3 linked regions of the Callithrix jacchus genome follow. The protein of the gene in region 1 binds, or shares a complex with, the protein of each later gene. Links are inferred from orthologs where the notes say so. Each region holds a gene or a part of one and is shown in the gene's direction. Other genes may lie near its edges.

Region 1 (7,503 bases):
CTGGGATTACAGGCTTGAGCCACCGCGCCCGGCCTATTTTTAAAATTTTAAGTTCAGGGGTACATGTGCAGGATGTGCAGATTTGTTAGCATAGGTTAAACGTGTGCAATGGTGGTTTTCTGCACAGATCATCCCATGACCTAGGTATTAAGCCCAGCATCTATTAGCTATTCTTCCTGATGTTCTCCCTCCTCCCCGACCACCCATCGACAGGCCCTAGTGTGTGTCATTCCCTCCCGTGTGTCCATGTGTTCTCCTCATTCAGCTCCCACTTATAAATGAGAACATGTGGTATTTGGTTTTCTGTTACTGCATTAGTTTGCTGAGCATAATGACCTCCAGCTCCACCCATGTTCCTGCAAAGGGCATTATGCTTGTTCTTTTTTATGCTGCACAGTATTCCATGATGTATAGAAGAGAAATCTGAAATGTGGCAAGGTTAAGTGACTTTCCCATCCATGGTCACTTAGCTAGTTGATGAACAATTTGGGGTAAGAATCCAGTACTCTTGAACACCAGTGATTCGTTAATTTTCCAACACTATTCCATCTCCAGTCGTCACCCATACACACCTGCCATTAGGAAGGTCTTTGCCATTTCTCTCTCTGGCCACCTTCTGAAAGCACAGATCAGAAGCCAGTTCCTTAGCTGATGGGGTGGGTGGATAAATAGCAGGGCCTAGGAGGTAGAGGAGGGAGAAAGGTAGCACAAAGCCCAGACTTAGATTTTCCTCCAGAAGGTGTAAGAATTATTTATTTCAAAGAGTCAGGAAAGTGAACAGAGTCAGCATTCCCTTTTCCTTGGCAAATGGATTGAATTTCTTGTGGCGAGTATTAGCTGCAAGGCAGTGTTAATCTGCTTCAGTAGATCCATCATCTGATTGATGTGCATGGGAGACAGGATTGTCCATGGTGCAAAGACCTCTTTGTGTAGGGCACACCACCTTTATGCATGATTGAGCCCTGGTGTGTTAAATGCCTCACACAAGGATCTTACCTACATTTGTCAGTTGCCTCCCTTGAAAGTATTGAGCTTTTTGAAGGTAGTATAGCATCATGGTTAAGGTGAGAGATTAGTTCTCTCTGCCTGAATTTGAATCCTCGCTGTGCCACTTACCAGCTGTTTGATCTTTGACATCTTAGTTCACCTGTGTGTGCTTGAGTTTGCTTATCTGTTCTAATTGGGGGTTGTGGCTTAAATGACTTAATAAATGTAAAGCACTGAGGAGAGTACACAGTGTTGTGAGGAAAGCAATTTTTCTTCCATGCAGCCCTCCTTCCCTTCCCCCATCATGCACACTCTGTATGTGTGTGTGTGTGTGTGTGTGTGTGTGTGAGTGAGAGAGAGAGAGAGAGAGAGAGAGAGAGAGAGAGAGAGAGACAGCTTTTGGAATCTGTATTTCTCACCGGCCCGCTGAGCCCTCCAAGTAGCTGTAACCTCATTGAAGTTTTACCTGTGGTGCCCATCTGCATTTGAAGTGTGTTTCTAAATGTGGTCCTCAGCAAGCTCCTTTGTGGGGAGAGCTGGGAGAAAGGAAACCAGAGAGTATGCTCTGTACACCCCCAGCCACACATGTTCTGGGTTCCCTCACTCTAGAGACTGGGGACACTGCGAGACATAGCTGAACCTTCTAGCAGGATGAAACTATTGAGTAGCTGTCTCAGTTTGCTTGGACTGCTGTGATAAAATGTCATAAAATAGGTAGCTTAAACAACAAGAATTTATTTTCTCACTGTTCTGGAGGCTGAAAGTCTTAAGAGCAGGGGGACAGCATGGTCGGGTTCTGGCGAGAGTCCTCTTCCTGGCTTGCAGACAGCTGCCTTCCCACTGTGTGCGTGCATGGCCTTTCTTTGATGTGTGCAGCTGGTGGGGGTGGGGGGTATATCAGTGAGGAAAATCAGTACCCTCAGCCTTGCTTCCTCTTTGGCTGCATGTGTGATGTTATTTGTAAGGCAGTGTCGGATCACCTTATTAGGTCTCCATTTCCTTGTCTTCTAGAGGTTTGGGATAGAGGTTGTGAAGGAAGAGCAGATTATGCTTATTCTGCCTTTTAAGCTCAGAACTGGGGTGTGTGTGTTGGCGGGAACATCCACATGATGATATATAATGAAGGCCTATCTTGTCACCTGTGTCACTGCAGCCACCCCACACAATTGTCACTGACACGCTTTGCCTCACAGGACTTCAATTTGAGACCCAGTGAAATCCAGTGAAACACACAGTGCAAACTGTCTTACCACTTTCCTGTTAACCAACTCCAGGAGTGATGAACACTTTTCAGTTCCCTGGATGGAACATGCTGAGCAATGCCCACAGCATGCTGAATGCACAGCTGGCAGGCAGCTCTCTGCCGTACCCACTCGCTTCAGCACCCACTGGCTGAATTATTTGCTTACCAAGAGCCAGCTTGTTCTCAAACGCATTTGTTCAGCTGTAGCTGGTATTGTAGTTAAATAATGTATTTAAGTATTAGATAAATTGATGAAATATAACTGCAAATGAAATGATTTTTTCCCTTTTTTTTCCCCTATGAACACCAGTTAAAAGCTGTGGAAAGACTCACAAGTCCAAGTCATTAAAACACATTACTGTCAAACTAGATGAATGTTAGGATTGGGGGAAATCATACTCTAATTTTTTTTTTTTTTTTTTTTTTAAACAATGAACAGGAATTTATTGGCTTATGGTTCTAGAAGCTGTTAAATCTAAGACTGAGGGGCCAGCATGGGTAAGGGCATTCTTGCTGTATCATCTTATGGTGGAGGGGCAAAAAGAAAGCAAGAGTGGGCTGAACTCATCCTTTTATAAGGAACCATTCCCGAGACAACAGCATGAATGGTCATAAGGGCAGTGAGCTTGACCCAAACACTTGCCATTAGGGCCAGACCTTTCAACACAGCTGCACTGGTGAGCAAGTTTTTAACACATGAGCTTTGTGGGACACATTTAAACCGTAGCATGCCTCAAGAAGGTAGAAAAAGAAATAATCCCAAAGCAAATAGAAAGAAATAAGATAAGAACAGAAATTGATATAATTGAAAAAATGAAAACAATATAGAAAATATAATATTTCTTTCTTTCCAATCTATATGACTCCTATTTCCTTTTGTTGTCTTTTTGCACTGGCTAGATCATTCAGCACTATGTCGACTTAAGTGTGGTAAGAGTGGACATCCTTGCCTTGATCTTACAGGAAAATATTCAGGCTTTCACTATTTTTTTTTCTTTTAATTGCATTTTAGGTTTTGGGGTCATACATACATAAAATTTTGTACTGTGATTACTCTGCAAGTTTCTACATTTCTAGTCAACTTAAACATCATGAATAGGAAATTGTCAACCATGTATTATGTTCTGGTCCATGTGAGAAGGGTGATGTGGACCTCTTAACCAGAGGGTCTTCTTTGGACCCTTATTCAAAGAGTCTCGCCCTATGTTAAAGAATGGATGAATGAATGAAGATTTATGTGCATTATGGAAAAATAATCATTTTAGATACATAATTTTTTATTTTTATTTTTTGCTGTGGCTTTTTTGATTAACCTGGTTACTGGACCTGGTTACATTGAAAATGAGGAGTTCTGCTGTTGTGATTCAGTTTAAAGTTGGTTTGATTTCGTTTTAGTGGATTTAGAGAATTTTATTTTGTATATGGTAAAAACAATAAAATCAACAGTAGTGGGGCTTTTTAAATTGAAGTTTTAAAGCAAATTAAGGTGGCCCATTCTGGATTTTAGTAGGTTCTTTGGTTCTTCTCATAGACTTGAAGCATATTGAGTCAGAAAGACCTGATTTTTTCATTTTATAAATGAGGAAATGGAAGCCCTGAGAGGTAAAGCGTTTTGGTGATAGTCATTAGCAGTGGCTGGAGTGAAGTGGGCAGAGCCACAGTGGGAGGGGCCTCCTCTCTAGCCTCCCACTTTAGTTCTCTGTCTGTCCCCAGAGCTGGAGCTTTCCGTGATAGGAGTGCTTTATTGGGTTGACTTCTCTGGTGATGGTATTGACTTTTACTCTCTGCTTTGTGACAGGACCAACCTGGAGGCCTTGCAGAAGAAGCTGGAGGAGCTAGAGCTTGACGAGCAGCAGCGAAAGCGCCTTGAGGCCTTTCTTACCCAGAAGCAGAAGGTGGGAGAACTGAAGGATGATGACTTTGAGAAGATCAGTGAGCTGGGGGCTGGCAATGGCGGTGTGGTTTTCAAGGTCTCCCACAAGCCTTCTGGCCTGGTCATGGCCAGAAAGGTGAGTTTGCTTTGATTAACAGGTAATTGGATTATCTCTCAGGTACCTAGAGGCCTGGGGACCAGGGTAGAAGGAAGACTGACTTTCCTCAATACCTCCTTGTGCTGTTTGAATTTCAAATGCATGTCATCTATGAGATTATGGATAAACACACTAATGACTGTGTTAGTGTATTAATCCCCATCCTGTCTGGAAAATAATAAGTGACTCTTCCTTAGCCTTCTGTGTGCTGTGGAAGGATGCCAGGGTATCTGTTTATTGCTTATCATGTGCACGAGAAGCTGCTTTCATTCACTTAGCCCCAGTGATACACAAAACATGGATTTCAAGTTGTTTCCCACTTGTGCCAGTAAATTCCCTTTATCTTCCTGCATTACAGCATCTGAACCCCCTGCCATAGCATGTACTCGTTGAGCTGGACCTCCCTTTCCTGTCTGCCTTGGTCCTCTTTTGGAACACAGCCCCCTGCTCCAGAGAGGTTGGGGTTTTTGATGTTTTTCTGCACACTGTGTTTACTCCCGTGCCCATATTTTTTTTGTGCTGTTGTTCCTTCTGCCTTTTCAAACAGTGCCCATCTTCTAGATACACCTCTTATCTAGCTTTCACCAGCTGCTCCAGCCCACACACTAGTAACAGCTGCATCCATGTTCTCTGACACTCATATCTGACATCCACCATGTGGGATTTTTTAGAAGTTCAATCTTACTATGTAACTTTTTAATGTGGCTGTCACTTGTCTCCCTAGCTGGAACAAGGGAAAATGTTAGGGTGACATAAGGTAGGACCTTAGACTTTGGCTCAGTCTCAACCACATCAGGCTCCTGAGCTCAAGGAAGAATCTCTTTGGCAGCCTAGTTTAGCATACTTGAGTTCCTCATACCCTTCTATTTCCACAACTCTTGAGTGTGAACCAAGTACTCAAGGTCAATTTCTCTTCATATTTGAGCTCCATAGTTTCTTTTGGAGTAAGCCCTTCGTTAACTTTGTTCCTGTCTTGGCTTCCAGGAGCTGAGGCACAGCTGGGACAGCCCCCAGTGCCAATGCCTGCCTTAGAACAGTGACACTCAGTTCTTGGTTCAGCAGAAACTTGTTTGTTACAACTTACCTGTTTCTCTTCCCCCTACCTTTAAGAGCTTAAACATTTAGCAAGACTACATATTTCGTCTCTCCTTTCCTCCTTTTTTCATAAAATCTCTCTTTCTTTCACCAGCTAATTCATCTGGAGATCAAACCTGCAATCCGGAACCAGATCATAAGGGAGCTGCAGGTTCTGCATGAGTGCAACTCTCCGTACATCGTGGGCTTCTACGGTGCATTCTACAGCGATGGCGAGATCAGTATCTGCATGGAGCACATGGTATGTGACACCCTCTCGGCCTCTGGAGCAATGGCTTTAAGAGTTGGGTGGCTCTGGCCTAATCTTTGGTCTGGGAGGTGACCAGCTGCCTCCATGCTGCTCCTGGGATCCACATCACTATCTAAGGCATCTGGGAAGTCTGACTGTAGGGCTTGGAATATTCACAAGACGGTAGGCCTCCTTTCTAGATCTTTGCCTCTCATCAAAGAAGTGGCAGTATTCCTGGTGGGTGTTCCTAGAGCATCTCTCTTAGTTTTTTGATTCAGATGACCCTAATATGTGATGTAAGTAAAATCTGGTAAATACAGTTTAAATCCATTTCTTCTGTACAATGTTGTATGCTAGGTGCAAGGCTCTGGGATTATGAAGATGATATAATCTACTGTAAGGGCACCTGAAGGGTTACTTTCGGTTTTTGCATGATGCTTATTAGTGGAAGGAGAGGGCAATGAAGTGAGAGGGCATTCATGGGCTAATTCATTATCTACATGTGAGCTGCCACTGATTTTACCACTGTATGCTGAAGCATGAGAATTGCTTAAACCCGGAAGGTGGAGGTTGTGTTATGAAGACTTCTGTGACCCAAAGTGTGGAGAGATTTTCTCTACACTCCAATCTACAGACACTACCTAGGTGTCCTCTTGTTCAGTTCCGACACTATCTACTGGGATATCATGTCAGATACCATGGGTTAAAGGTTAAAAAATTAGATGGACATGGTGGCGGACACCTATAATCCCAGCTACTCAAGAGGCTGAGGCAGGAGAATCTCTTGAACCCAGGAGGCAGAGGTTGCAGTGAGCTGAGATCATGCCATTACACTCCAGCAGGAGCGATAAGAGTGAAACTCTGTCTAAAAAAAAAAATTTTTTGTAAGCATATGGGAAAACTGGAAGGGAATGTACACCCATAAACCTACCACCTAGATTCTACAACTTATATTTTGATATATTTGGTTTACCACATATCCATTGTGCCAATTTTGGGGGGATGTGTGGGGTTTTGTTTTTATTTATTTTTTGAGACAGGGTCTTGCTCTGTTGCCCAGGCTGGAGTACAGTGGCACAATCTTGGCTCACTGCAACCTCTGCCTCCTGGGCCCAAGTGATCCTCCCACCTCAGCCTCTTGAGTAGCTGGGACTACAGGCACACGCCACCATGCCAGCTGATTTTTTTTTTTTTTTAATTTCACCACTATACAAAGAAGTATGATTTTTGTATTTTTAGTAGAAATGGGGTTTCACTGTGTTGCCCGTGCTGGTCTTGAACTCTTGGGCTCGAGCAATCCACCTGTTTCAGCCTCTCAAAGTGCTGGGATTACAGGTGTGAGCCACCACACCTGGCTCTGGGGATGTGTTTTAAAGTATATTTGCATCATCAGCATTGGTTGAGCCCCATCTTCTAGAGCACTCAGCCAGGGGCTGATCTTTCCTAGAAACAAGCTCTGTGTGCACTGTCCAGTCTGAATTTTGAAACCCAAGTAGGGAAATCAGTGCTCCCTGATTAGAACAGGAATGCTTTTGTCCTTGTGGAAGCAGATTCCTGCTCAGGTGGTAGCTGAGCAACCAGAGAACTGGGGATCCAGAGTTGATGATTCTTGTGCAGGAATAAAAGCTTTTGAGCAGTTATTTTCATAAAGCATTTGTCTCTTCCATAGAAAACCTTCACAAAAGCACCATTGACTTAGTTAATAATTGGCTTCTAAAAATAAGCACAATTTCAGCAGCTTAAGGCAAGGACTTGGCAACAGTGAATTACAATTAGCAAGTTGTAGGGTTAGTTGCAGGTGCAACTGGGTAATTCTGACTGGCTTATGCCCCTTACATTTTGTAATTCCATTGTTCACACTGTAACTCTGCTTGTTCTGTGGAGGTTAGAGGGAAATGAGCCAATCTTTCTTTCTTGTT
Region 2 (7,503 bases), on another chromosome or scaffold:
CAGGGAGAATCAGAAACTCTGTTTAAACAAGAGTTCCAGAAGGATGGGTGTAGTGAAATTCTTCTATGCCAGGGCTGCTCTTGCTCTTCCCTGGACAATTAGATGTTGCTCACAGGTAGGTCTTGGAGTATTAGCCAGACAAAGGGCCTCAGTTCGCTGGGGCCAACTGCCACATATTAAGGATGAGGACACTGAGGTCCAGTGATGCTAAGTGAGCCGCCCGCTGTCCACAGCAGCTGGGTGCCCTGGCAGGAAGCCTCTCTCCTCCCTTACCCGGCAGTGGCTCCAGGAGAGGGAAGAGAAGTCACGGAGCCCAGATCTTCTGCCCATGCCTGTTCTCCCTGCTCTCCTTTCAGGCTGAGGAGCCAGAGGCTGGCAAGTCAGAGGCAGAAGACGACGAGGACGAGGTGGACGACTTGCCGAGCTCTCGCCGGCCCTGGCGGGGCCCCATCTCTCGTAAGGCCAGCCAGACCAGTGTGTACCTGCAGGAGTGGGACATCCCCTTCGAGCAGGTAGAGCTGGGCGAGCCCATCGGGCAGGGCCGCTGGGGCCGGGTGCACCGCGGCCGCTGGCATGGCGAGGTGGCCATTCGCCTGCTGGAGATGGATGGCCACAACCAGGACCACCTGAAGCTCTTCAAGAAAGAGGTGATGAACTACCGGCAGACACGGCACGAGAACGTGGTGCTCTTCATGGGGGCCTGCATGAACCCACCCCACCTGGCCATCATCACCAGGTAACCCAGCCCCAGGCCCTCATGCTGGGTGGCCGACTCAGCCTCCCCCTTCCCAGGGAGCCACGTTGTTTGGATGCCCTCGAAGGTGTGGAAGTTCTAATAGAGGTACAAGGAAGAAAACCAAAAATGGGATGTAACTTCCTACTCACATAACCTCACTGACACTAAAAAATAAATAAATACGGGCTGGTGCAGTGACTCATGCCTATAATCACAACACTTTGGGAGGCCAAGGTGGAAGGATTGCTTGGGGCCCAGTAGCTTGAGACCAGCCTGGGCAACATAGTGAAATGCTATCACAAAAAATACAAAAAAATTAGCTGGGCCTGGTGGCAGGTACCTGTGGTCTCAGTTACTGGGGAGGCTGAGGCAGAAGGATCACTTGAGCCCAGGAGATCCAGGCTGCAGCAAGCCAAGATCATGCCACTGCACTCCAGCCTGGGTGACAGAGTGAGACCTTTCTAAGGTTATAGAAAAACAAATGTCCATCAAAGATACAGAGTGAAAGCCAGTCATCTCCCACTGCATCTGAGCGCTTCTCCCCAAAGTCAGAGACACTATAAACAGTTAACATCCCTTCTGTTAAAATGAAGACATTAGCATATACTCACATTTTTAAACTGTTTATTGCTTCTTATAAAAATGCAAAGGAGAGATCATGCTGGTTCATGCCTTGCCTTCTGCACTCAATAACGGGTCTGAGGTCTGCTCTCTTCTAACACATGCATGGTATCCCCATCACAGAGGCGGAACCTGGTGGTGTGCTGGTAAATGTGTATCAACCAGTTTTGGGTCAGTAGGGAGGGTAGCCCTAATTTGTTACATCCATCACATCCTGTGGTATAAATATTCTCACCATGGTCAATTTCAGACTGCTAGCATGACCTCCCTGGAGTGCAGAAGAATTGGAATGAGTCATGTAACACTCATGAGCTGACCACTGGTGGTCCCATAATTTATTTACAGAGCAAGACTCTGTCTCCAAAATTAATAAAAACCAAAACAGGTAATTAATTAAAGAAACACAAGACAGGGTCTTGTTCTGTCACCCAGGCTGGAGTGCAGTGGTGCAATCTTGGCTCACTGCAAGCTCCACCTCCTGAGCTCAAGCAGTTCTCCTGCCTCAGCCTCCCAAGTACCTGAGATTACAGGTGCACACCACCACTCCCAACTAATTTTTGCATTTTTAGTGGAGAGGGGCTTTCACCATGTTGGCTGGGCTGGTCTCAAACTCCTGACCTCAGGTGATCCGCCCACCTCAGCCTCCCAGAGTGCTGGGATTACAGGTGTGAGCCACTGTCACCTGCCTGAAACAGGAAAACATTCATTAACAAAACAATCTTACTTTGTTTAGAATACACAGATAAGGAAATCACCAATACTCTTTACCCCTCACCCAGTTTTCTTTTTTTTCTTTTTCTTTTTTTTTTTTGAGGAGGAGTCTCGCTCTGTGCTAGGATTACAGGCATGAGCTGCTGCTCCCAGCCCCTCCCCCAGTTTTCAAAGGCTCTGAGACTCCAGAATATTTTTCTAAAATCATAGTCCTTTCCTAAGATAGCTCCCCTGGAACAGGGGAGTGACCCCACATTCTCCCTCCTTGCCCTAGGTTTTAGGAGGTGACGCAGGTGGGGACCCCAGAACTCGGGCTTCTTTTCCAATAGTCACTGTGCCCTAACATCTCCCCTACCCCTTTCCCTCCTTGCACACTCCTTTATTGTTATAAAAATCCCATGATCAAGAAAAAAATGAAAACTGTAATGAGACTCTAGACAGTGATCTCCAGTGCCTTGATGTTGCCTGGTGATTGCCTTAAAAGGCCAAGTTCTTCCCCATCAGAGTGATCCTGCCTTGAACCCACCAAGCATGGCTACTCTGAGTTCCTGGGAGCTTTGATGCGCTGTTTCCTGTTGTAGGACAGGCAGGCACTGGCTCTCAGGGAATGGGGTTTGTGTGCGTGTACGTGCGTGGCGTCATATGTGTTTCTGCATGTTCAAGCTAGACCCCAGCAGCCAACGGCTGGGTTAAAGAAGATTTGGCTCACAGTTAAGGGGGTGGAGAGAGTCCTTGCAGGCAGGCAGTCAGGTACAGTTCTCCCCATGGGCTCCACCAGGGACAGGGTCAGGCTGCACCAGCCCGGGACCTGTGCTTGATCCACCACCACCCTCAACAGCTTTTGCAAGGGGCGGACATTGCACTCGTTTGTGAGGGACCCCAAGACGTCTCTGGACATCAACAAGACAAGGCAGATCGCTCAGGAGATCATCAAGGTGAGGGGGTGTCTGGCTGTTGGGGGGTGTGTTTCTGGCCAGTTCCAGGGCTCTCGGCTGTTCTCCCACTCTGTCAGCCCCCGTCAAGTTAGTTTGGCAGCTTTGCCTCTCCCTCTAGCTCAGGCTTCTCAAGGGTGGGACCCTGTCTCCTCCTCCCTGTCTCGTTCACTCACAGCTGGGAGCTGACCATCTATATGATCAGCCTTGATGGAATTGACTTGTTTGGGAAGGAACTTGGCAGGCCTTAGAGACAGTTTCAATCCTGGTCACACCCGCTGTGTGAGTCTGGGCAGGTTGTTTAGCCTCTCTGAGCCTCAGTTTTCTCTCCTTTAAAATGGGGATCCTCATATAGCCTCCTCTCTGGATTGATGTTAGGTTAAAAATGCAATAATCTATGCATTGGGGTGCACAGGAGCCCTGGGTCTGGTGTTTGAAGAAGCTTGACCTTGGTTGAGATCATGCCTGTGTCGGGTCACCCACGTTCCATGTACCTGCCTCATCAGTGCTCAGTTCAAATAGAGCATTGGTTAGAAATCACCCACTGCCACCTTTCACTTGGTAGATAAGAAACCAGGCTTCAGAGGCGTTGAGCACTGTGTCCACAGCCACAGAGTGAGTGAGACTCTGAGCTGAGATGGAATTCAAACCCCAGATTTCAGTTTTAGTCCAGGGCTCCTTCTACAGCTCAGATATTAGGAACATCCCAAGTTGGGAACCCCTCTGTGGGAATGCCTCTCTGTTCCCCTGCCCTGAGCCCTGGCCCTGCCTGAGAGTGGAGACCAGTGATGCATATCCTGACAGAAAACCCCAGCTCCTTTAGGCCCTTCACGACTTAACACAGAAAATCTCACTGTTCCTGACCCCCCTGGCTCCCTGCCCTTCACCCTGTTCATACCCCCTACCTTATCCAAGGTTAAGGTGGCTATTTGGAAGCATGGTAACATTAAAAGAGCATGGACCCATCTGGGGTCAGATCTCAGCTCTGCTCCTTCACTGCTGTGTGCCTTGGGACAAGTGACTTTCCTTCTCTGAACCTCGCTGTATTCTGTAAAATGGGGACAGTATACTGCATGGAATGGTGAAGATCAAATGAGGGGTTTTGGGTAGAGCATCCAGCCCAGGGTGGCAGCTCCGTCATCACCACACATCTTCACTCCTCCTGATCTGGGGCTCACTGTCCTCCAGGGCATGGGGTATCTTCACGCTAAGGGCATCGTACACAAAGACCTCAAATCCAAGAACGTCTTCTATGACAACGGCAAGGTGGTCATCACAGACTTCGGGCTGTTCGGGATCTCGGGCGTGGTCCGAGAGGGACGGTGAGTGGGTCTTGGGTGTCTGGGTGGGACGGGGATGCTGGGTGGGGAAGGGCAGGCCTGAGGTCTGGGCCCTTTACTGTTTGTTGCTGAGCTGCAGCTCTCCCTGCAGAAGTTCAGGTCGCTTTGGTCCTGCTCTTGTAGTTCTGGTTCAGAATCAGATTTGGGTCATGTTTGGATTCTCAGGCTGGCTTCCTGGAGAACAGGTCACCACACTCATATTTGCCCTGGCTGTTCACCAGCTTGGCCAAGGACCCAGGATTCATTTCCCCACGATGAGGAAGAGCGTCATTTTATTTCCGCAGATCTTGAAGGGGTCGGGGTGGGGAGAAAGGACCCTCCCCTGGTATCTGGGGAACCCTGAAAGGGAACATGGCAGTGAGGCTGCAGGACCTGTCCCAGGCAGGTTTGAGATCCACAGGCAGATCGGGGTTCCTGGTTAGAGCAGTGCCCCATTCTCCTAGCAGAGAACTGCGCACCTTCACAGGCTCCTCACTGTCAATATGTATCCGTTTTTGCCCCACTTTTCTAGAAACACCCGGTCATGACTCATTTGTAGAATTCCTCAAAAGCACCGGTGCCTTTCCCAAGTGCGGGGTCAGCGTGCTGGCTCTGGGTGTGTTCTCTAAGCTGTGTGTGGGTGCTCTACTGGCCCTGGGACAGACCTGAGCCAGGCAGGCCTCTTGGCTGCTTGCTGAAATGCCTGTGTCCCTGCCCTGACTTCCTGGTCTCCAGGCGTGAGAACCAGCTGAAGCTGTCCCACGACTGGCTGTGCTATCTGGCCCCAGAGATCGTGCGTGAGATGACCCCTGGGAAGGACGAGGATCAGCTCCCATTCTCCAAAGCTGCTGACGTCTATGCATTTGGGTGAGTAGGGCCCTGGTGGCCATCCGTGGCAGAGGGAGGCAGGCTTTTAAGTGTTGAAAACCCAGACTTTGGAGTAAAACTCCACCTGGTCTTGAGTCTTGGCTCTGCTACTTGCTGGGTGACCACATCCTTGACCTTCTGCCTCCCCGTGAGTAAGATGCAGAGAAGAATAGCTCCTCCCCACAAGGTCATTTCCTGAGGACTAAGGTAGGTCATTGCCTTCCATGCTTAACACTGGCCGTCAGCCCCACCCAGCTGATCTGCAAGGACGCTCGCCAGAGCTGACGGAGAACTGTCCCTCCCAGGCTGGGGGAGGTGGGCGTCCTGCCAGCCAGGCTCTGGTACCCCACAGAGAGCTGGGTGCTGACCAGTAGCAATGTAATGTGAGCCCAATATAGAAGCTAAAGTTTTCTAATAGCCACATTAAAAAAAGAGATGGGCGAAATTAGTTTCCCCTGTTTATATTTTATATATTATAAAATGATATATTTTATTTAACTCAGCATATCCAAAATATTATTTCAACATGTAATCAACATACAAATTAATATGGAATATGGTATTTTATGTTCTTTTTTCCTACTAGTCTTTAAACTCTGGTGTGTGTTAACTGCCCAGATTACCCCTCCATTCAACTGTGTACATTTCATCCAGCCAATAGCCCCCATATGGCAAGAGGTTCCCCTACTGGACAGTGTGGATCTGATGGAGAAAGGCCCATCCTAAGTCGAGACAGCCAAGGGGACGTGGAGAAGCTAAGCAAGGCTCACCGCCCCAGTCCCCTGTGCTGTCTCTGGGTGTCCTTCCCAGTGGGGTGGCCTTGGCACCATCCTTCTTCCCTGACCTTTAACTGTATCCTTTTCTGAGCACGCATGTGTGCCAGGTGCTGGGCTTGGCACTTCAGTACTCCTCAAACAACCCTGTGACAAGAGGCATCAGCCCCACTGAGGTGAAGCCGTTTTACCAGGAGCCAGTAGAAAGTGGCAGAGCTGGGTTGTGCTGAGGTCGGAATGACCACCCATGCCGTCTCAGACTTCCCACCGCATGACAGCACAGGGCCCAGGTCCTCCAAGGCTGGGAGGAGCCTCCAGGAGGCCATCGTCGCATCCCCTGAAGCCAAATGAGTGAGGAAGGTTAGAGAAGTGTCCTGATCCTCTGGCTGGGTGATGGCTGCAAGAGCCCCTGCATGTGAGCTGGGCAGAGCGGCCCCAGAGCTCATGGCCACGGCTGGGTCTCCACAGGACTGTCTGGTATGAGCTGCAAGCGAGAGATTGGCCCTTGAAGAACCAAGCTGCGGAGGCATCCATCTGGCAGATTGGAAGCGGGGAAGGAATGAAGCGTGTCCTGGCCTCTGTCAGCCTGGGGAAGGAAGTCAGTGTGAGTAGCCCCTGCCTGGGAGGGGCAGTAGGACTGGGGGTCCTTCATTCGAACCGCCCTTCATTCACCCACCTGAGAAGTGGGGTTGGTGAGGGGCTCTGCCACCTGCAGGTGTCTAGCTAGAGATGACAACGACACGCACTGCTGGGGGTGGGAAGGAACGGGGGGCGTAAATAAGAAAATATCTGTCTACACCCACCATCACCTTTTTCATTCCTTTCGGTGTTTTTTCTTTTCCTTAAAGATAATGGTTTTCAATGATTTATAAGATGAGAAGAAAGTAAAGCCCCATGTTATTTATTTATTTCTCCACATGCAGCCTTACAGTTATACCTGAAAAAGCCCCATGTTATTTACATGAAGGAAGATCTTTTTTAAAATCACTGCTCAAACTACAAATAGTTGTGTTACGCTGTGGTATTAAATCTTTCCCCATAATGTTTTTCTTGACGGTTAAGAACAAATCGAAGTTTCCGCAGCAAACTTGTTTTCAAAAAACCGAGTCTTAATTATGGTTGCTGACTTCTCGTATCTGCGTGGCTTCTTCTTAACGGTTTCTCTGTGTTTGTAAGTTTTCTCAGGCTCAATAAGAGAGAGAGGCTCTCAAAAGATGTTTATTTGGAACTAGAGCACTGCACTGGGAATATGCGTGCCGTGGTAAATGGCTTATTCCGGGAGGCAAAGGGAAAAGTGAAGAGGATTACATAATTGTTTTGAAGTATTTAATAATTGTCCCTGGCTACAAAGATCACAAGAGTGATGTCAGTCCAAGGTTAGACAGGCTGCTTTGGGCAGATGTCCTTGGAGGAGTATTTTTTTTGCATACGGTTGCAGTGGCCTTCATACAAGGTTGCAGGTTTTGGAGTCTTTAGGGATGTTTTTGTTATCAGACATACAAGCACAAGAAGCCTCTCTTCCGGGCTTTCGCAGGCCTGATTTG
Region 3 (7,503 bases), on another chromosome or scaffold:
GAGAAAGGCTTGGTGGTGACGACTTCCCATCTGGGGATTCTTCATACATAGCTAAACTCAATACACAGAGCTACCTTTTCACCTAGGGATCACATTTATTTTTCTTTCTTTACAGCTTGGAAGGAAATCCATTACTTCAAATTGAAGTGGAGCCAACGTCAGAGGTGAGAATTGGAAAGCAGTGAAACAACATTTTCCAGGGGCTGCCCAGAACTTGGCAAAGCCGACTGATGTTTTCAATGATGCAGAGGGCTTGGGGTCAGGTGGGGGCTGCGGTGGTCCTGACTGATGGATGTTCTAACTCTGGGACAATTAGCAAGTGGTGGCCCCTCCCAGTATTGAGCCGAATGGGCCATTATATGGCGGGCATCATAGAAAAGCCAGTTGTGCGGAAATTGGCAAGAGATTTGCATTCTTAGTTGAAAGATCAGCTCAGGGCCAGGTGAATACCAAGGGAGATGTGCCCCGCTGCCTTCAAAACAATAGTGAGAGGAGATGGGGGCCTCAGGGATGCCAGGCTTGGAAGTGTTGAAAATGCTCTGGGGCTTCTTCTCACCTGCCTAAGCGGCTGCAGGACTATATAAAATGCCCTGTCTGGGAACCATGGAGTTCTGATCACTCAGCTCTGTCACTGCACTGTGTCTTGCACTGAAAGGAATAGAGTCAGGGCTTCCAAGGAAAATCGTATTCCTTTCTGGGACTATTTGGTTATTGGAAAATGATCCTGGGAGAAACCAACGTCTCCTATATTGTTTCCCCTGAGTGTGCCATCAAGGGTAGCTTGTTCAGGTATTTTGGGTCAGGAAGACCTGTACCCAGTCAAGAGGCCACCTTCTCAAGCTGTTTCATCAGGTCCCAGGGTCTCTGGGAATCCCCACTGGCCAGGCACCTGCGGCTCCCACAATTCTGCAGGAGAATCGAAGAGGCAATTCACCCCCAAACACCCCCAGATATCATGCTGATACGGTAGGGTCCCTGCATCTTGAGCACTGAACTCTATTGGTAGCCACGCCCAAGTATGCCTGAGTCATGTGGGTGCACATGGTAAAAATGCAGATTCCTGGTCCCGGCCTGCTGATATTTTCATCCAATAGAGCTGGGTAGGGCCCAGGAATCTGCATTTTCTCGGGCCTCCCAGTGAGTGTTTAGTACAGGTGGTCAGGTCTGTACAAAGAACTTAACAGGTCTTCATCTCATTTAAAACCTCACACTGCCCCTGGGGCAGATTTTATTACCCCCACTTTACAATCAGGAAAGGCAGCCTCAGAGAAGTCAGGCAACTTGCTCAAGGTCACACAGAGGCCGGATTTCAGCTCACTTGGTCTGATTGTTAAGCCCATTCTGTTAACCTCTCAATCTCATGTCTCCTACCTGCTCCTGGCTGCTGTAGGAGCCTCAGACATCTAGCCTGTAGCTCTGACCTCTCCCAATTTTTAAATCATCAATTCCAAATTCCCTGGGGAAGCAAAAGGTACTCCATGTTCATGGTTGTCACGTGTTACATGCAGATGCACGACGTACCCATTGTTTTAGCAAGTCTAACCTATCGGCTTTATCACATGCACATAAGCAACTTAACCAAAAGACCTTGGAAGAATAGGAAGGGCATGAGATATTCAAGTCCAGAGACCTGGATCTTAGTTCCTCCTCTGCCTGGCTATATGACCTGGAGTGAATCCTTCCCATGGCAACATAAGGGACTTTCGGTGCTAAAACCAGGAAGATCCCAGCAAACTAGAATGGGTGATTCTCCCCTAACACTGCTCTCTGTACCTCAGTATATCCCCACTTAGCACAAGAGAGTTAGACGATCATGATCTCCCTTTTAGCACCTTTACTGTAGTGTGATTCTAGACCAGAGCTACCTGGGGAAACAGAGGGATGTATGTCTTCACCAGCTCCAAATCCATGTAGAGATGTGTCAGGATCTATGCATGCACATGGGACCCCACAGGACCACGAGGGACGCTGAGGCAGTGGCAAGCACAATTCTGACCTCTCTCCCACTTCGGCCACAGAATGAAGAGGCCCATGATGAGGCCGAGGAGTCAGAGGATGACTTTGAGGAGATGAATCTGTCCCTCCTCTCGGCCCGGAGCTTCCCACGCAAGGCCAGCCAGACCAGCATCTTCCTTCAGGAGTGGGACATCCCCTTTGAGCAGCTGGAGATCGGCGAGCTCATTGGAAAGGGCCGCTTTGGGCAAGTGTACCATGGCCGCTGGCATGGTGAGGTGGCCATCAGGCTGATTGACATTGAAAGGGACAACGAGGACCAGCTCAAGGCCTTCAAGCGGGAGGTGATGGCCTACAGGCAGACGCGGCATGAGAACGTGGTGCTTTTCATGGGCGCCTGCATGAGCCCACCTCACCTGGCCATCATCACCAGGTCAGTTCCACCTGGGCTCCCACCCAGGGATTGCCAAAGCTCTGCTTCTGGCCTGGTTGAGAAATGGTTTTCTGCTTACTTGACCACTCTGGTTAATAGACCATCTCCAGTTCCAGCATGCACAGTTCACTTACATGGTTTAAGATTTCAGATTCCAGAAAATACTTAGTTAATTTATTTGGTTTTTTTAGAGACAGGGTCTCACTCTGTTGCCCAGGCTTGCATGCAGTGGTGTGATCATAGCTTACTGCAGCCTTGAACTCCTGGGCTCAAGAGATCCTTTCCCTTCAGCCTCCCAAGTAGCTGGCACTACAGGTGTGTGCTGTCACACCTGGCTAATGTTTTAATTTTTTGGTAAAGATGGGGGTCTCGCTATGTTGCCCAGGATGGTCTCAAACTTCTAGCCTCAAGCAATCCTCCTGCCTTGGCCTCCCAATTACAGGCCCGTAAGCCACCACACCTAACCTCAGAAAATACTTTTAATGCTAAAACTCTTCAGCAAAACCAAAAAGTACTAAATGAGGAATCAGAAACATCAGGTCTAGTTCCCCCTCTAGTCCAAGTATTTGCATAACAACTTCTCAAAGAGTCACTGTCTTCATATGTGAACTGAGTAGATTTCACTAAATCGGGAGTCAGCCAACTTTTTCTGTAAAGGGCCCAATAGTAAATATTTTCAGCTTCGTGGGTCATACAGTTTCTGTAGCAGCTACTGCACTTGGCCACTGGAGTCTGAAAGCGGCCATAGACAATCTGCAAATGAAATTGCAAGGCTGTGGCCCAATAAAACTTTATTTATAAACCCAGGAAGTGGGCTGTATTTGGCCCATGGGCCGTAGTCTGCAGACCCCTGATTAAGATTTTTTTTCATTTTGAGATGGAGTTTCACTCTTGTTGCCCAGGCCGATATGGCACGAACTCAGCTCACTGCAACCTCCATCTCCCAGGTTCAGGTGATTCTTCTGCCTCAGCCTTCTGAGTAGCTGAGATTACAGCGATGCGCACCATACCTGGCTAATTTTTGTATTTTTGGTAGAGACAGGGTTTCACCATGTTGGTCAGGCTGGTCTCACACTCCTGACCTCAGGTGATCCACCTGCCTGGGCCTCCCAGAGTGCTGGGATTACAAGTGTGAGCCAAGATTCTGATAACTATTATTCTGGTTTTCATGAAAGTTGCAGAGCACATTTGCAGTCTTTACCGTTGTGGTTTGGAATATCCAGGATCTGTGGTCTATGGATACACAGAAGGGATAGTTAATAGAGAACTAACATTGTGAGAATGTTTCTGGGACTTTCTTGGACTTGCTCTCTGGCTTCTCCCAGTGACTTGAGGCTTGGGGAAAAATAGCTTTGGTTTCAATGGAACGGTTGTGAAACAATCCTTTGGTGTGTTTTTAAACTCTGGCACTGGTTCTCTTGTAACATTAGGACTGGCCTCTGCAGTGGCATTCTTAATATGACCTGTGATGCCAAGGGCCAGTTAGGAGCTCTCTCCTTCCTCTACTTAGCTTAAGCAGTGACACCCCAAATGCACAAGCCTCGCGTCTTGGCAGGCCCAAAGCAGATGCTGTGAGCTCAGAGAAGAGCTGGTGTGTCTTTGATCTCTTCCCATGTGAGACAAAACCTCCTTGAGTCCACTTATAAGAACTTGGTGATTGGTAGAAGGTGCATTATATTCTGTATCCATAGATTATGCAGACGATGCATTGACTGGAGTGACTCGTGCTTTGAATGGTAAGTGCTGGCGAAAGATTGCCGATCTGGGAATGGGCCTCCAACTCTTCTTAAATCAGGGGAAAGCTGGTGGTTCTCAACTCTGCACCAGACGGAAGTGGCTTTGAAGAAATCAGCCCAGGTAATCTTCAGGGGCTGAGCTGTTCTGAGCATAAGCTTTTGCTGAGTAACAAACTACTCCAAAACGTAGTGGTTTCTCTATGGACAGTTCTGGGCTGAGCCAGACTCAATAGCTGAGCTCTTATAGATGACTGTGGTCAGCTCTGGGTCAACAAGGGGATAATCAGTGTTAGATGCCCTCATTCATATGTCTGCTGGTTGGCAGACTGTGAGGGATAACTAGGCTATCCCTAACAGCCTAGCTCAGGCTCATTCTCCTGGCAGTCTCAGGTTTCCACGTGCAGTGAGAGGTCAAGACCCATATCTGTTGGCCAAAGCAACTCCTATGCTCCACTAGATTCAAGGCATGGAGACAGAGCCTCTACCTCTGAATGGGAAGATCTGCAATGTCCCACTGCAAGGACATGGATGCAGTGTAGGGACAATCTGGCTCTTTTTGCAGTCTACTACAGAGAGACCCTCAGCTCCCTTTCCTTCCCTTTCTTACCCAGTATATATCATCATCTTTTAGCAGCAGTCAATAGTCTATTACTTGGGATACACAAGTCTGGTTGGAAGGTGGTCTTCTCCCCACCCCTGGCCTTCTCCCCATTGCTCCCATCTTAAGCTCTTACCCCATCTTTCTCTCTGGTCAGCTCCTCACCACCCGCCTGCCTCTCTCTTCAGCATTATCTATGGAGCCTAACACCCATGACTCCCTCACCCTCTTCTCGAAGGCTAGCAAGTTGGAAACAGACAAACTCAGCAGCCATCCTTGATAACGAGTGGTCGTTATGAAAATGTGTTGCTCATCCTGCAAGCCAGCTGCATTTGCGGCCCCCTTCTATTGTGTACAAAATTCTGAGCCCCCCTCCCTAAGCACCATAACTGCCTACAGATTTCACAAATAGCCCAGCCTTTTCCTGGCACCATGATAAAGACTCTGCAGCTTTGGGACGTGTAATTGGTCTCTGAAGTGTTTTGGTATTTTGTGTGAGGATGCCAGATGAGCCCCAAAGAAGTGGCATTGATTCCATATTATTGTGTTGTTATATATTTATCTTAGGGAGGGACTCTGTGCATCCCTCTCTCCCATTCAGCCCTGTCCACTTGTTGGCTCTCCAGGTTTCTTATCTGCACGTTCAGTTTGAAACCAAATATTTGAGTAATTTGATTAATCACTTGCATTTGCACAATTGGCTGGCAGAGGTTGATGGTTGGATGATAGCCAACCAACTGGAACCATTTTGGGACCCTAGATTTATCTTACAGGGAACATAAGACCAGATAATTACCTGGCATATTCTGGATCAATCCACAATGGCGCATTCTAGCCAATTACCTAGTAATTATCATCGAAGTTAACAAGTACTTCTAAGATTAGCTTCCTTGCAATGCAGTATGTGTGGCTCTTAGGGAATGAGTAATAACAAACTAGTTACCCAATTGCTGTAGCCACAAATGCTATTAGCAGCAGGATTGCTAGATTGTTTCACGATTGAGTCATTATGGGATTATGGCAAAGCTATTCACCGTCTGCACAATCACTCGTGTTAAAAACTCCAAGTGAAATGTGAAAGCCAATAGAGTTGAGTGAAAGTGTCTCTCACCCTTCTGCCTTGCTACCTGGGGTTTCATAAGCCTTAGTTTCTCCTTCTGTAAAATGAACAGGTGGAAGCAGATATTTGTTGCAGTGTCCTTCCAACTCTGACAGTATTCTTTGCCTGTCTGATAATGAGCTGTGTTTGAGAAGCAGCTGGGAACAGGTCTTGAGCAGCGCATCTCAAAGATGGTGTACCTGGACCTTCCTACACCTGTCTTAGGAGAGGAAAGTTGTAAAAATGCAGATTCTGGAAAAAGACTGTGATGGTGACAGGCAAGGGCAAAGGGGAGAAGGTGAGGGTAGAGAAGCCGTCAGGAGCAAGACTTGGAGAAGGCAGGGTTTCTCAAGCCTGGTGGAGGAAGGGGAGCTTTTAATACAGTTAACAGTGCCTGGCCCTGCCCCAGAGCAGAGTCTCTCATCTTCAGCACTATTAATCTTTGGGGTCAGAAAAGCCTTTGTGGTGGCGGCTGTCCCATGCACTGTAGGATGTTTGGCAGCATCCCTGGCCTCTACCCACTAGATTCCAGTAGCACCAGGCACCAAGTTGTGACAACTAGAAATGCCCCTGAGACATTGCCCAGCGTGCAGGGGACTCTATCACACAGCCAGGTTTGAAGCCCTCTGTTGTAGAATCCCTGGTGAAGAGTCCTGATTTTACGCCAAAGGCAGTGAGCAGCCATTGGAGGGTTGTGGGAAGGGGTGCGGCATGGTGGTGGTGGAGGACAGCAATGAGGAAGCCTCAGAAATGAAGGGTGGGCACATAAAGGGAGATATTTTGCCCAGTGCAAAGGCAGCAACAGTTCTAGGAAATGATCCGCTTATCTGCCCTAACTTCCCATTATAATCAAAGAGCTGATGGTCTTGGTGGACACCCAGCGTCCTTCCTTTCACTCTATTTTGCTGCCCTCAGTCAGACTGGCAAACTGTGTTATAGAGATCACCCTATAGGGTTGCTGTCTTGACAGTGGGTGAAGCTCTGAACCAGCAGAAGGCAAGCCATGCATGCTAGATGGGATGGCTGAGCCTCTTTGCTGAAATCATTTCCCCGGTTCTGGGGTAGAACCAAGGCAGAGCCCTCAAAAATAAACCAAAAAAGACACAGTTGCCACCAGCCTTCAGCAAGTGCTTTGCTTCAGGCCAGGTGTGGTGAGGTTCTCTGGTTTATCCCAGTGCCCATTTTACAGGTGAGAAAACTGAGGTCAGAAAGTCAGAGGGAGCCCTTGCCCAAGTCATAGAAAAAGTAACTGGCAGAACTAGGAATAAGCAAATGTATATCTGAATACAATACTAGTCTAGTAGGTTCCTTCTTTGCCAGTGGCTGCCTTAGCTAGATCAAGGGGAATGGACCTCACCTGTGAGCAGGTCCATAGCACAGAGATTCCGCATTTTTGGTCATATCAGAATCAGCTGGAGAAATTGATGACCATTCAGGGCTGACGCCCCATCCTACTTCAATTAGCTTGGACCTCTGTATCTTTTAGTAAGTGCCAAGGGATTTTGTTCACGCCTCAGTTTAAGAACCACTGGCTTATTCGAACTGAGTTTCATTTTTGTAGCTTTGATTTTCTGGTGTTTATGTGCTTCTCCAGTACTCTGTAAATTCTTGTGGCACCAGCACACCCATGTGCGCGCGTACACACACACCCACACACACACTCCTCTTCCATATATTCTTAACA

Evidence for each region. The genes of interacting proteins can lie anywhere in the genome.
Region 2: the proteins of MAP2K1 (region 1) and KSR1 are in contact, whole or in part, in a crystal structure (PDB 9AXH), measured with the Homo sapiens proteins. The link is inferred for Callithrix jacchus from reciprocal best matches to the Homo sapiens genes MAP2K1 and KSR1. Residues at the interface, in NP_002746.1 of Homo sapiens: Asp217, Ala220, Asn221, Ser222, Phe223, Val224, Gly225, Thr226, Arg227, Ser228, Met230, Arg234, Leu235, Gln236, Gly237, Met308, Ala309, Ile310, Phe311, Leu314, Asp315, Val318, Asn319; in XP_011523731.1 of Homo sapiens: Asn767, Gln768, Leu769, Lys770, Leu771, Ser772, His773, Leu776, Val784, Arg785, Met787, Thr788, Pro789, Asn823, Gln824, Ala825, Ala826, Glu827, Ala828, Ser829, Ile830, Trp831, Gln832, Gly834, Ser835.
Region 3: the proteins of MAP2K1 (region 1) and KSR2 are in contact, whole or in part, in a crystal structure (PDB 7UMB), measured with the Homo sapiens proteins. The link is inferred for Callithrix jacchus from reciprocal best matches to the Homo sapiens genes MAP2K1 and KSR2. Residues at the interface, in NP_002746.1 of Homo sapiens: Val81, Glu102, Met219, Ala220, Asn221, Ser222, Phe223, Val224, Gly225, Thr226, Arg227, Ser228, Met230, Arg234, Leu235, Gln236, Gly237, Met308, Ala309, Ile310, Phe311, Glu312, Leu314, Asp315, Val318, Asn319; in NP_775869.4 of Homo sapiens: Lys674, Arg818, Asp820, Lys821, Leu822, Arg823, Ile824, Gln825, Asn826, Ile837, Arg838, Gln839, Leu840, Ser841, Pro842, Gln877, Pro878, Ala879, Glu880, Ala881, Ile883, Trp884, Gln885, Gly887, Thr888, Met890.

Annotation. Positions count from the first base shown.
Region 1 is NC_133509.1:13,472,255-13,479,757, forward strand, and holds part of MAP2K1 (dual specificity mitogen-activated protein kinase kinase 1), read left to right. Parts: intron 1-4,028; coding exon 4,029-4,239; intron 4,240-5,449; coding exon 5,450-5,596; intron 5,597-7,503. UniProt on the Homo sapiens protein: Dual specificity protein kinase which acts as an essential component of the MAP kinase signal transduction pathway.
Region 2 is NC_133506.1:105,819,453-105,826,955, reverse strand, and holds part of KSR1 (kinase suppressor of Ras 1), read left to right. Parts: intron 1-356; coding exon 357-736; intron 737-2,906; coding exon 2,907-3,003; intron 3,004-4,188; coding exon 4,189-4,322; intron 4,323-5,054; coding exon 5,055-5,186; intron 5,187-6,427; coding exon 6,428-6,563; intron 6,564-7,503.
Region 3 is NC_133510.1:120,567,003-120,574,505, reverse strand, and holds part of KSR2 (kinase suppressor of Ras 2), read left to right. Parts: intron 1-115; coding exon 116-164; intron 165-2,018; coding exon 2,019-2,386; intron 2,387-7,503. UniProt on the Homo sapiens protein: Location-regulated scaffold connecting MEK to RAF. Has very low protein kinase activity and can phosphorylate MAP2K1 at several Ser and Thr residues with very low efficiency (in vitro).